3 linked regions of the Rattus norvegicus genome follow. The protein of the gene in region 1 interacts with the protein of each later gene in a pairwise test. Links are inferred from orthologs where the notes say so. Each region holds a gene or a part of one and is shown in the gene's direction. Other genes may lie near its edges. The genes, in order: Lsm2, Dnaja1 and Clns1a.

Region 1 (4,441 bases):
ATTGTGAGTGTTTAACTTGATAAGGGCAAAGTACTTGAATTTGTGTAAGTTGAGCATATCCAACAATTTTTTTTTTGGTTTTGAGGCAGGTCTGCCTCAAATGTCTTTCGTTCATGCTGCCTACATGACTGGAATTACAGAACGTTACACCTGCCAGGAAAAATATTTTCTAATTCTCAGGCACCCTGAGCCCATAGGAAGCAGCTGCTAAATGTACTGACTGCTTCTAACCAGTGACAGCCTCTTTTAGATTCAGGTGTTAAAGTTTCTGTTGAAACTCGGTAACATCTTGCTTGGTAATCATGATGGATCCAGCTCTGAACACAGTGATGTGCACAGGTGGAGTGGGGTAGGTAGGACAGAGAGGGAAGACACATCTTAGGGTCTTGCTGGCAAGTCAGTCTAGCTGAATGAACCTGTCCATTCCAGGATCAGTGGCAGATCCTGTCTCAGAAAATGAGATGGCTAAGTCGTTAAGGACATATGTTGCTCTTCGGCAGGACCAGGGTTTGATTCCCAGCACCCGTATGGTGGCTAACAACTATAACTCCAGAGGATCCAACACACTCTTTTAGTGTCTGGGAACACTGCACATGTGGTACACAGATATACGTGCAAGGAAAAACTCACACATATAAAATTTTAAAATATTAAGTAAGTGGAAAGAACAGCCAGCATTCATCTCTGGCCTACACAGGCAGGCATGCTCCAAGCTTCACCCAGACCCCCAGGAAACCGACTTTTTTGGTATCATGCAATCAGCAGGCCTAGTCTCTCAGAATTCTCACCTGTGTACCATGACTGCCTTGCACCAACAGCCAGCCTCGAGAAGACAAAATAGCAAGTGTTTTCCTATTTATCCAGACATGATATCTACAGAAGCTATAACCTAGCAACTTCCCATTTAATTACTAGTAAAAATAATACGGCTGGAGAGATGGCTCAGCGGTTAAGAGCACTGACTGCTCTTCCAGAGGTCCTGTGTTCAAATCCCAGAAACCACACGGTGGCTCACAACCATCTGTAATGGGATCTGATGCCCTCTCCTGGTGTGTCAGAAGACAGCTACAATGTACTTATATATAATAACTCAATCTTTTTTAAAAGAATATGCAAGTCATAATTTTCTCAATCTTCCCAATAATTCTCAGTAGAAAGCGTAGAGTATGAGCAAGTCACCCGGCACAGAGAAGAATCTAAAAAATTATCAGGGAGGCGAACTACATCCAACGCGCAGCTGCTATGGCCCACGCACGCGCTCGGGAGGGAGGAGTTCCTTGGGAGGAAGTGGGAGACAGGAAGTCCCGCCCTCCTCCCGGTTTGGCGGTCCTCTCTGCTCTGCCCTACTCCGCTCCCTTTGAGCCCAGATTCAGCCGCGGTTTTCGCGGTTCCCCTTGCGCCTGCGTGATCCTGTCCTGCCTCACGCGCGGGCTCGTGCTCCGGCTCCCGCCCTGCCTCCGGCCCGCAGTCCCCGGCGCCTTCCTTCGCGGTCCAGGCCGCCCCTCGTGGCGCCAGCACCATGGTGGGTACCGTGACGTCAAAAGGGAGCGCCGCCGCCCGCGGCGGGCGGTTCGAACTGTTCGGGTCTTGGTTGCGCTCTAGTGTTTGTTGCCTTGGGCTGTAGCTAAGCCCTAGGGTTTTCCTTACAACCTCAGGGCCCACACCCTGTGTGAGGAGACTGCTTGGAACCAATGGTTTTTTTGGGGAAACTTCCAGCAAGTCCAAGAGAAAGCCCACGGGCGCCGGGGGAGAACGGAAAGCTAGTCTTGCATTTCCGTGCTGGAGATCAGGATTTTGTGAGGGTGCGGTTGGGAAGCGGTCTCGAGCAGGGAGGTGGTCGATTCGGAGAGTGGGTTCTGGCATCGAGGGGTGCAGCGCAGTTATTGTCTCTCTGTGGCCCCAGGAATTGCAGTCTCTGTTAACGGATTGTTGATGGTGGTGAAATTTTGAGAACTACTAGGTGGGGCCAAAAGGACTGGTATTTCAAATGCCGTCACGGGTTCCTCCTCCCTGTCCCTTTTCATGTGATAGTTCCTCCCTCTTTTCCAATAGCTCTTCTACTCCTTTTTCAAGTCCCTTGTGGGCAAGGATGTAGTCGTGGAACTCAAGAATGATCTGAGGTAGGTCTTTATTTCAGCGAGTTGGTGGAAGGTGGGAGGTGCCTGGTGTCCTGATCGTTTTCGTGGTTGTTGTTCACAAAGCTATTTTAGAGCAGAGGGGCAAAACACAGAAGAAATATCTTGTGTCTTGAGTGTAAAGATTAGTTTAAGAGTGAGCCTGGTGCTGTGGCACATGCGTGTAATCCCAACGCTGATGCAGAATTGTGAATTCAAGGACAGTTTGGTCTACATATGTCCAGGGCCAGCCAGAGTTACACAGTGAGATACAGTTAAGTAACATGTATGTGCAGTCCTGGATGTCCCGGAACACACAGATCCGCCTGCCTCTGTCTCCTGAGTGCTAGGATTTGCCCTGCTGTATCATTTGCTCTTAACCATTCAGGAGTGGATTAAATGCTGTATCACTGGAAAGATGTTTATGGCTTCTTGTCACATCATCCATTAGAGTCTACTTTCTTTTTTTGTTTGTTTGTTTGTTTATTATACATAAGTACATTGTAGCTGACTTCAGAAACACCAAAAGAGGGCATCAGATCTCATTATAGTTGGTTGTGAGCCACCATGTGGTTGCTGGGATTGAACTCTGGACCTCTGGAAGAGCAGTCAGTGCTCTTAACCATTGAGCCATCTCTCCAGCCCCTAGAGTCTACTTACTTTCTTTCTTTCTTTCTTTCTTTCTTTCTTTCTTTCTTTCTTTCTTTTTTCTTTTCTTTTGTTCGGGGCTGGGTACTGAACCCAGGGCCTTGCGCTTGCTAGGCAAGCGCTCTACCACTGAGCTAAATCCCTAATTCTAGAGTCTACTTTCTTAATAGTGCTTAGAAAATTATAGGTGTCACTGATGTCTATTTTTTTTTTCATGTACTGGATGGGCATGCTCAACAGGTGAACTTCATTTCCAGCCCTCGTGTTTCTTTTTAAAATCCTTTTATTTGTAGACTCTTGAAACCTTTGAGCACAGGTCAGTGCTTGAGAGCCTTGATTCTAAGACAGAACGTGGTGTTGACAAGCAGGATGGTTATGGCCAGTGTGGGCAAGTGAGAGGCTGGCCCAGGCCGGGGTGGAGAGTAGCTAAGACTTTTTCTAGTCTAAAAGTCAGACCACACAAGTGTTCTTCCACAGAGCAGTGGGGGTTCGTAGAATGTAGAGAGTGAAGAAGTAAAATGCAGGATCTGGGGTTGTTAATTAAAATTTTAATTCCTCTGCACCTCCGTGCAGTGGGTAAATATAAGATGGGTAACATGGTGTGGGAGCAGTGGCTTTGATAACTGTACTCAGGACTAGAGGGTGGGGGAGTGTAGCATTAATAATAGTTAATTTCAGCTGCCATGTATATGTAGGTCTCTGGCTCCAAAGCATAAATGTTTACAAGTAACAGCTATTGGAGCTGCAGAGATGGCTTGGTGCTTTAAAAAGAGCTTGCTGCTCTTCCAGAGAAATAGAGTTCAGTTCCCGGCAGCTACATTAGGTGATTGACAACAGTTTGTTGGGCTGAATACAACTCCTTAGAACTCTGGCTTCAATGGATCTGATGCCCTCTTCTGGTCTCTGTGGGTAACTACATGCACATACACACAAATAGTAAAAATCAGTATTTAAAAATAATGGATGTTTCTGGGAGTCGTGCAGATCAGGGCTGACATTCCAGTTCATTTGTGTAAGTTTTGGTACCTTACATGACCTCTCATAAGTCCTGGATGATACTACTTTGAAAGGTGATTAGCTGAGTGGTTGATGGCTGTTCATCCCTTAAACCTTTAAACCTAGCCCTCAGGAGGCAGGGGCAAGGGCAGGGGCAGGGGGGAGTTTGAAGCCTGCCTTATCTACAGAGCTAGTTCTAGAACCCCACAGGGAAACCCAGTGGGCAATGGCCATGAGTAGTGCTCCTAGCTGTAGTTCTAGAACTTCAGAAGTGGAGGTAGGAATGCCAGAAGTTGGAGGCCAGCCTGGGCCAAGTGAGAACCTGTCTTAAAGTGGAAATACTAATATTAAATGGAGCATAGGCCCGGCCTGACTACGAGCTTCTGATGTGTTGGTGTGAGGACAGACTGAGTCTGAGGTGCTTTATCATTTCCACCTCAGAACTTACAGGGGCTGCCTGCTGGCTTCAGGGCCTAGAGTTCCTCCCCCCTTGTCACTGTAGTTCTGATTTTCCCTCTGCTGATTCCAGCATAAATGAATGCTTCTCTCCTCTTTGCTCCCACAGCATCTGTGGAACCCTGCACTCTGTGGACCAGGTGAGATACAGTAAAGGGGAAGGAAAGGAGACAGTGAGGGTGGATTGAGTCTCTAGGGTTAATGATGATGTCCCTCTTTCTTAGTAC
Region 2 (4,163 bases), on another chromosome or scaffold:
CAGCTGGTGAAGCACAGAAGACCCGAGTTACCTGTGTAAAGGAGAGAACTACAATAATGGTCCACAGTTAAAACACACACAATATAACAAACATTTAACACATCTTATTCCACAAAAGTCTAAGCAGGAGGCCCCATGGTCTTCCTCTTCACAACTGCTCAGAGGCTGAAGAGTTCAGAGTTTGAAGCCAGCTTTGGCTACAAAGAGAGTACCAGGCCAGTCTGGGCTCAAAAACAAGGCTAAGGGGTGTAGAGAGATAACTAATCCGTTTAAAGCACTGGTTGCTCTTGCAGAGGCCCCAGGTTCACTTCCTAGCATCCACGTGGTGACTTAAAATTATCTGTACCTCCAGTTACCACAGGAACTAGGTATGCATGGGGTGCATAGACACACATGTAAACAGAACACTCATATACAAACAGTAACTAAAAAAACCTTAGAAGTCAAACAAGAAAACTAAATAATAAAATGTGACTAAGTTATCTGGAATAGTCAAATTCATAGATTCTATGTCTCTGGCTTCCTTGGGCACCTATACACACAGATACACACGATTGGAATTAAATCTTTTTAAACTATGTGAACTCTTTAAGCTTGCACCTCCACTTCTTTGATGTGTCTATTGTGTTACTGAATAAGAAAAACATTCACTGTCCCTTGAAAGCTTAAGATTCAACTTTGCCAACTATAGATTTTGATTCACTAACTGGAAATAAAAACGGTCAAAAAATTGAAACAATAAACTAAAGCAATTAATTTCGTGTTTTGCTGCTACTCTGCAGCCAAACTGGGTGGCAGACTGACTAAAAAGGTGCGTGAAGCATTCTAAATGTTTCCTGTTTGGTGCAGTCCCAGGTTCTGTCCGCCCAAGTCAGAGCCAGAAGGATCTGAAGCCTGGGCTCATCCAAAAAGCTGTGACAGGAGTGCGCTTGGGTGAAACCACCGGATCCAAAGCCTGCAAGGCTAGTCTAGGGACTAGGCCCGCCTTGCTCAGCATTTCTTGCCCGCAAGGCTCAGAGCTAAGGAGCTGCAGAAAATTAGACTCCGGTGAGGTTAGGATCCCTTCTGCACAGCGCCTGAAGCACTCGTCCCCGGCTTACGGCTCTGGGACATGACCTCTCCACCTCAAGACTTCCGCCCTCTGGTACCTCGCATAAAGAAAAAGCCTCTAGAAGATTCTACAAGGATCGGGAACCCGGGCCTGAGTCCACCCCCACAAGGCCCTTGGGCGCAGCCACTCTCCGCCCCCGCGCCGTTGCCCAGGTAACCGAGGGGCGGTGGCAGAAGCGAGGGGCGGGACTTCCGGCAAGTGACGCGCCCGGGCTCCGCTACAAAAGAGGTCGGCTGCGGCGGGCCGGGCGGAACTTTCCAGAACGCTCGGTGGGTGGTAGAGGAGCAGCGTCTGGCCGAGCTGCGCTGTGCTACGCTCCTCTTTCCGCTCTCCGGCGCCGGCCCGCTCACCGGTGAGTCTAGGTCCTTGGGTCTCCCTCGGTCGCGGCGTGCGGCCTGGGCACCAGACAGCCGGGGAAGCCGCAGCCGGAGGCGGTTGGTCCCGCGTGGGCGGGGACTGTGGGTTCCCTGAGCCGGGCTCGGTCTTCGGAAGGCTGCCGGGAATGCCCGGCGCCCTGCCCGCCCGCACGCCACGAGGCGGCCCAAGGCCGAAGCCAATTCGCCTCCCGCCTCAGACTCTTCGGTGCGCACCGCCGCCCGGGCTGGGTGGGCAGCGCTGCGCACGCGCGGACCGAGGCAGGGGTGAGGGGCTGCGGGAGGAGCGGGGCGGAGGCTGCGGCTTGCGCTTCTCCTGGCTCTCCTCCCTTTCTTTGTTGAGTCCGGCCTTCCCCCTCCGCCTTTTCGATCAGGGTGGGAGGGAGAAAGGAAGGAAACCTTAACGGTCGGCGCCAGGTGCCGGGGAAACCCAGAGGGCGAGTCAGCTCCGCAGGCCTGAGGGGCGAGAGTGGGTAAGTTGCGAGCGAGCAGGAGCAGGATGGCGAAGGGGCCTGGGCACCTGCTCTCTCGAGCTGGTCTCATAAGCCACTCCTCCACCCCCGGGTGTCCAGTGTCCCTTTCCGGCGAGGGTATGGCCTTTATCAGATGTACAAAGGCAGTGGTAATGTACTAACCAGTGGATGGAACCTATCAGTGCTGCTTTGGGTTACTAGCAAAACCTCTGGGGGAAAGGAAACCGGAAGAAACCCAATAATTCATGTGTTAGTGCAGTAGAGCAGGAACCAGCTGCTAGACAGACTTTCCTTCGCCTTCCCTGAAATTTAAATTTAGTCTGTTAGAATTTACAGCTGAATCATAGCAGGAATTTTTACCTTTTAAGACGTTTAGGGAAGGCTGTATTAATATGAGATAAAGGCAAAAAACCAGATTGCTTTAGTTCTGGTAGTTAAAAACTATAAGTTAAGAGCCAGTCATCTCTCAGGAGGCAGAAGCAGATGTTTTTTTTTTGTTTTGTTTTGTTTTGTACAAAAGGTAAAAGCAAGTTTAAAATTATCATTTTCTGATTTCAGGCTGTAAAAAATGGTGAAAGAAACTACTTACTATGATGTTCTGGGGGTCAAACCCAATGCCACCCAGGAAGAATTGAAAAAGGCATATAGAAAATTGGCCTTGAAGTACCACCCTGATAAAAATCCAAATGAAGGAGAAAAGGTAAGCAGCTCAGCAGTGTTGCCATGTGAATTAAGTCTGTACGGTAGCTGTGCTTTCTAACAGTTGTTTCTAATGGGATATCCTTTTCTGAAACAGTTTAAACAGATTTCTCAAGCTTATGAAGTTCTTGCTGATTCCAAGAAAAGGGAACTATATGATAAAGGGGGCGAGCAGGCGATTAAGGAGGGCGGAGCAGGTGGAGGTTTTGGCTCGCCCATGGATATCTTTGATATGTTCTTTGGAGGAGGAGGAAGGATGCAAAGAGAAAGGAGAGGTAAGAAAAAAATCTAGCTTACCTGCAGCAGAACAAAGTAACTGCTGATGAAAGAAAGACTTGAGAATTTATTTAAATGTTTTTTTACTCTTTAGCGTGATGTTACATTCTGTCCATGAACTGTCTCTGACTTCTGGTGTCATTTATAATTGAGTTGCTGTGGTTGTTTGGTTTGTTTGGTTTTTTATAATTTTTATTTTATGTGCACTGATGTTTTTGCCTGCATGTATGTCTGGATGAGGGTGTCAGATCTTGGAGTTATAGACAGTTGTGAGCTGCCATGTGGATGCTGAGAATTGAACCCTGGTCCTCTAGAAGAGCAGCCAGTCCTGTTAACCACTGAGCCTTCCCTCTAGCCCCTATAATTGAGATTTTATGTAACCAAAAAGTAGCTAAGCCAAAAAAGCAGGTATAACCAACTCCATATATTTTCAAACAGTAGGGTAACAAATTGTAGTAACAACTTAGGGTTTCTGGGCTGGAGAGATGGCTCAGTGGTTAAGAGCACCGACTGCTCTTCCAGAGGTCCTGAGTTCAAATCCCAGCAACCACATGGTGGCTCACAACCATCCGTAATGGGATCTGATGTCCCTTTCTGGTGTGTCTGAAGACAGCTACAGTGTACTCATATACAAAATAAATAAATCTTTAAAAAAAAAAAAAACTTAGGGTTTCTAAGCCCTTTTGTATCTTAGATAATATCACCTGCTCTTAGAACTCAGTGGTAAGTGCAGTGGCCTTTTTCTGTTAAAAATATGTTGGAGAAGGGGTTGGGGATTTAGCTCAGTGGTAGAGCGCTTGCCTAGGAAGCGCAAGGCCCTGGGTTCGGTCCCCAGCTCCGAAAAAAAGAACCAAAAAAAAAAAAAATATATGTTGGAGAAAACGAAACCTTTTCAAGCAAAGACTGGATACAGCTCGTTGCCTCCAGATAGCCTGCTGCCTGTTTACTCTTCAGCTTCATTAGCTCAGCTTAGATGCATTGACTGTTGGATCAAAAGACGTATTTTATGGGAAGACAGTATTGGAGGTTAAAATGGCACTTTGTTCTCAATATAGTTAATACAAACTAATGGGTAGGCACAGTTAGAACAAATCGGCAGCCCATTAAATTTCACTTTGCCCTTTTAAAGGTTTAAGAAGACTTGAAAATCTGTTTACTGTGTTTTTATAAGAATTTACCTATGGGCCTGAGAAATTGCTCAGTGGTTAAGAACATTTGCCATTCCTTGCA
Region 3 (4,424 bases), on another chromosome or scaffold:
AAACTGGAAATTTAGAAATGACATTTAACCTCTCTTCTTTGTCTGTCCTTGTCTTCATTTTCACAAATTCTTCCTCTCAAACTATGTCCAAATGATGAGTGAAGATTTTAACTTCAGAGAGTTCGAGAATCTTTCCTCATCCATACTCCACTCCCACCTTCTCATTCCTGTCAGTGGACCAATTTTCTAGTCTCACTAATGACAAACTGGCTAAATTTAAAAGCGTTAACACTTGGAACTGGAGACATTGGACCAGCCTCTGAGAATGCCTAATGCAGATGGTTTCACTGCACCCAGGCAGGGTAGCTTACACCTGCCTGTAACGAGTTCCAGCAGATCCAGTGCCCACTTCTGGAGTCATTGGGCAACTGCACTCAATATGTACACAGAGGTTTTTTTGTTGTTGTTTTGTTTTTTTAAATCGTAAGGAAAAAAAAATCTAAAGATACTTCTGTTGAGACGATTCCAAAAAGAAAAAAAAGGAGGGGTGGGGGAAGGAGGATGAAGAGAAAGAGAAGGAAGAGGAGGAAAGACAAAACTCCCATCACATTCTACATGTTATCCAACCTAAACAGCCCTGACCCCATAGACATTACAATTCTACAGCCAAAAAAGGTGGAGTCTAGAGATCAGCTGACTGAATTCCATCCACCAAGTCATTACCAAACTTTAGCTTGTGAATTTAATGGTCTCATCTGTAAAACTGGGTCAGTAATAAAAATGTGTTCATATTGTTTATCATCAGAATAAAACTGAATTGAGCAGGTGTAGTGATGGATGCCCGTAATAGTTCTAGTACCCTAGAGTAGGGTGCATATCGATTATGTATTGGAGGCCAGCATGGGCTACAGAAGGAAGCCCTGTATCTAAAACCACGAACGAATCCATGAAGAAATAAGAGGTAAGGTCCTTATGCTGTGTGTTCTATAAGCCTCGGTTATAGGTTTCTATTTACTAAATCTGTATGTTTTCACTGCACGTATTTTTTGGGGGCCTAGCAAGCTGGGAAGGCAAGGGTTCCAGACCTTTTCCCTGGGCACTGTCTTTTGACTGTCTGGCCGCGCTGCTGATCAATTAATGTAATCTTTTTGTCTTCCTGGCGTGACACGTGGGGATGGGGCACTCGACCTCTCCGGCGACATGGGAACTAAAAGGCCTGGTAAATGGCTGTGTGAACCCAAGAAGAACAGGCCCGACGAGGAGGAAGCAGGGTGCACCCAACCCGGAGATTTTTGACCTCCAGATGAGTGTGGATTTTATTTCTGTGCGTCCTGCTCAGGCAAGGGACTCCAGGGGCCTAGGCCCATTCCCACTTTTTATTGGGAAAGTCTTCGTATTCCTCATACAGCCTCTCTCAGGGTTTTCTGCGACGACCTTGAAGTAGAACCACAGAGAAAACACTCGGTTATTCTAAGCACCCTTACGGGAGCCTGAGAAGGGAACCAGTATCACGTGACAGAAGGCCGGCTCGCTACAGATCTCTGAGTTGCCTAGAACATCCCGTCTCTATGGTCAACTGCACGCGAAATTCCTCGATGAGAAAGTTGTTCTTCCGGAGTACGGCTACTGCTTCCGGGGCAGCTCCCTGCGAACCGGGATTGCGGTGCTCTGCTTTCTTGGTTCCTGTGGAGCAATGCTTTCGCCCGCAATGAGCTTCCTCAAAAGCTTCCCGCCCCCTGGGTCCGCAGATGGACTCCGGCTGCAGCAGCCAGACACCGAAGCTGTGCTGAACGGGAAGGGGCTCGGCACCGGCACGCTTTACATTGCGGAGAGGTAGGTTCCAGGACTCCGGCGCCGGCCTCCTTCGGGGGCGCCTTCCTCCCAGAGGCGCGACCACGGGGTACTACAGGGGGGCGTCGGCCGACGCTGCTGTTATGCGGGCCCGGTGGGATTACCCCCCTCCGGAGCTCAGCTGGCTCTGTTCTCATTAACGACTTGTGCCTGTCTCCTGCAAGCCTGGCGCGTGGTCGCGTTTAGTTTTGAGTCTGCAGAGCCTCGGCTAGTTTTTCGATGGGCCTGGCTTTCTGAATGATCGTGTGAACTAGATGTTTTCCCTGCGTGGAATATGTAGCTCAGAGGAGATTGTGACGGGTTTAGGACGTTTGATTAATGAGCTTGGATTTTCCGCTCCAGATGTGGGTGGGGGAAAAGAGCATCTTCAGGCCCTCGCAGGGCGGAGTCATAACCAGTCGAACCCGACTCCTGGATGTGCAGGTCTTGGAAGGAATTCTTGTATTTGACTACTTGCAGGACTTTGTACTTCCACAATAAGATAGACGAGTCACTAAAATACACACTATACACACGCTCATACCTTCGTGCCCACCCCCATATTTTCCTGTTCTTATTCTCTCTGTCTCCCTCTCTCTGTCTCCCCCCAACCCCACACTCACACCCCCACTCCCGCCTTACTATCTTTCTCATACTTTCTGTCCTTCAGATTCTCTGGTTTACCATCTGCTGTATTTCATTTGTTGGCCCCAGAGGCTACTTTTCTTTTAAGAGCTCAGTGTTATAAATAACATTAGGCCTGCCTAGAAAAATCCAAGCTAGCCTCCTTTATATCACAGTCAGTTGATTAGTAACCTTAAATACATTCAGAATCCCCTCTGTCATGGCACTGGGAAACAAATCTCTTAGGGACCAAGATTATGCCTACTCCAGAGTCCAGGGTATAAAAGTGTAAGAAGTTAATTGTTTAAAGAACTGTTTGGATGGTGGGGCAAAGCCTGGGTGTTTAGACACCGACTGGAAATACATATGTGGGTGGGCACTCAGTTTGTTTGTGTATATATATACACACACACACACACACACACACACACACACACATATATATATATATGTGTATATATATATATATATATATATATATATATATATATATATATATAAAAGGTTTGGAGCAGTCAGGAGGGAGAAAGAAAGGGGGTGGGTAGGAAGAAGTGGTGGAGATTCATTCATTCATTCTGTAAGTTCTGTTACTCTAGAGAACCCTGACTAATACACATGGGTGGAGAGATGGTTTAGCACTTAAGAGCACTAACTACTCTTCCAGAGGTACAGAGTTCAATTTCCAGCAACCACATGGTGTCTCACAGCCATCTGTAATGGGATCTGATGCCGTCTTCTAGTGTGTCTGAAGACAGTTATAGTGTACACACATTAAATAAATAATTAAATAATATTAAAAGACATCAAAAATACACATGGATAAATAAAATGGATCTTGTTTTTCAGAGTTAGGATTATTTCTGTGTTTCACACTCCACATGCAGAAGAAATTGTTGAGATCACCCAAGATCTTACTGTGTGTACCTTCCCTCTCCTAAGTCTTTTTCTCTTTACGCATGCATTTCTCTAAGGTCCTTTGCCTGGCCCTCTCTTCTGGACTATATAGCCTACTCCAGTGAGTATGTTAATACCTACTCTTTTGAATTTCAAATCTGTCTTTTGGACATTTGATCACACTGTGAACCCCAAGAGTGTATACTAGAAAAGTCCTTTTTTTCTAGTCGTGGTGTGGCTCAGCCTTTAGCACACCTCTTTATAGCCTCTGACTGGAAGACAGACACATCCTTAGTATACACCTTGAATCCTAAACAGTGAAGGTCAAGTTAGTTTGTAGAAGGAAGCACCATGATTGAAAGTGATGTCTAAATGAGTGGCAGACAGAGTGATGAATCAGAGAAAGACTTGACCAAATAGGATATGCCCAACTCTCAGGAGAAATGAGAGGAAAGGGAAGCTATTTAAGAGCTGTGCAGAAAAAGGAAGGAGACAGTTTTACTGGAATAGTTGTACAGAGACAGGTTAGAGAAAAAAAAGGGGGGGGGGGGCAGAGAATGAGTAGTCAGATCAGCTAGAGTTAGTTTGATGCCAAGCAGAACAATTCAGGAGAAACTGAGAGAAACCAGATTGAATCAGCCATCTTGGAGAGGAGTTTGCCCCAAAAGAGCCAAGTTAAACCAGTCAGAAAGAATGGGAAAGGGCGAGTTTTTTCAGCAGTAAGTCTAGCCTAGATTAGATTGTACGGAGGCTAGAGTCTTCCAAGACTAGGCCTAGGTTAGCAGCGGAGGAATTAAACTTCAGAGATGACACTTACTGTAGGAGAATAAAAGTTATTTTTATGCTGTTTGATACCAGTCTCCTAAGATACAGACACAGAAGCCCAACTACTCCATACATACACCAACCAAACTCACCCCTCAACATACCAAACTTGCTTCCCTTCACATTCATGTGTTTCTTGCATAAACACCTGGCTTTGTCCACCATCAGAGTTGCTCTATAGATGAAGAGGGTTTTGTTTTTTTAAGCACTTTTATACCCTGAACTCTGCAGTAGGCATATCTTTTGAGAATATGGATTTGTTAGGATGACTTACAGGTGAGGTCTAGTTAATCCAACAATGGCTGTCTGTG

Evidence for each region.
Region 2: the proteins of Lsm2 (region 1) and Dnaja1 interact in a two-hybrid assay, tested with the Homo sapiens proteins (2 studies listed by BioGRID and IntAct). The link is inferred for Rattus norvegicus from reciprocal best matches to the Homo sapiens genes LSM2 and DNAJA1.
Region 3: the proteins of Lsm2 (region 1) and Clns1a interact in binary tests that used the Homo sapiens proteins (3 or more experiments, as listed by UniProt). The link is inferred for Rattus norvegicus from reciprocal best matches to the Homo sapiens genes LSM2 and CLNS1A.

The regions. Positions count from the first base shown.
Region 1 is NC_086038.1:3,848,744-3,853,184, reverse strand, and holds the start of Lsm2 (U6 snRNA-associated Sm-like protein LSm2), read left to right. Parts: upstream 1-1,519; coding exon 1,520-1,522; intron 1,523-1,691; coding exon of another isoform or gene 1,692-1,802; intron 1,803-2,052; coding exon 2,053-2,120; intron 2,121-4,323; coding exon 4,324-4,354; intron 4,355-4,438; coding exon 4,439-4,441. UniProt on the Homo sapiens protein: Plays a role in pre-mRNA splicing as component of the U4/U6-U5 tri-snRNP complex that is involved in spliceosome assembly, and as component of the precatalytic spliceosome (spliceosome B complex).
Region 2 is NC_086023.1:60,637,052-60,641,214, forward strand, and holds the start of Dnaja1 (dnaJ homolog subfamily A member 1), read left to right. Parts: upstream 1-1,352; 5' UTR 1,353-1,463; intron 1,464-1,744; exon of another isoform or gene 1,745-1,822; intron 1,823-2,516; 5' UTR 2,517-2,526; coding exon 2,527-2,658; intron 2,659-2,754; coding exon 2,755-2,932; intron 2,933-4,163.
Region 3 is NC_086019.1:161,429,061-161,433,484, forward strand, and holds the start of Clns1a (methylosome subunit pICln), read left to right. Parts: upstream 1-1,608; 5' UTR 1,609-1,633; coding exon 1,634-1,773; intron 1,774-4,424. UniProt on the Homo sapiens protein: Involved in both the assembly of spliceosomal snRNPs and the methylation of Sm proteins.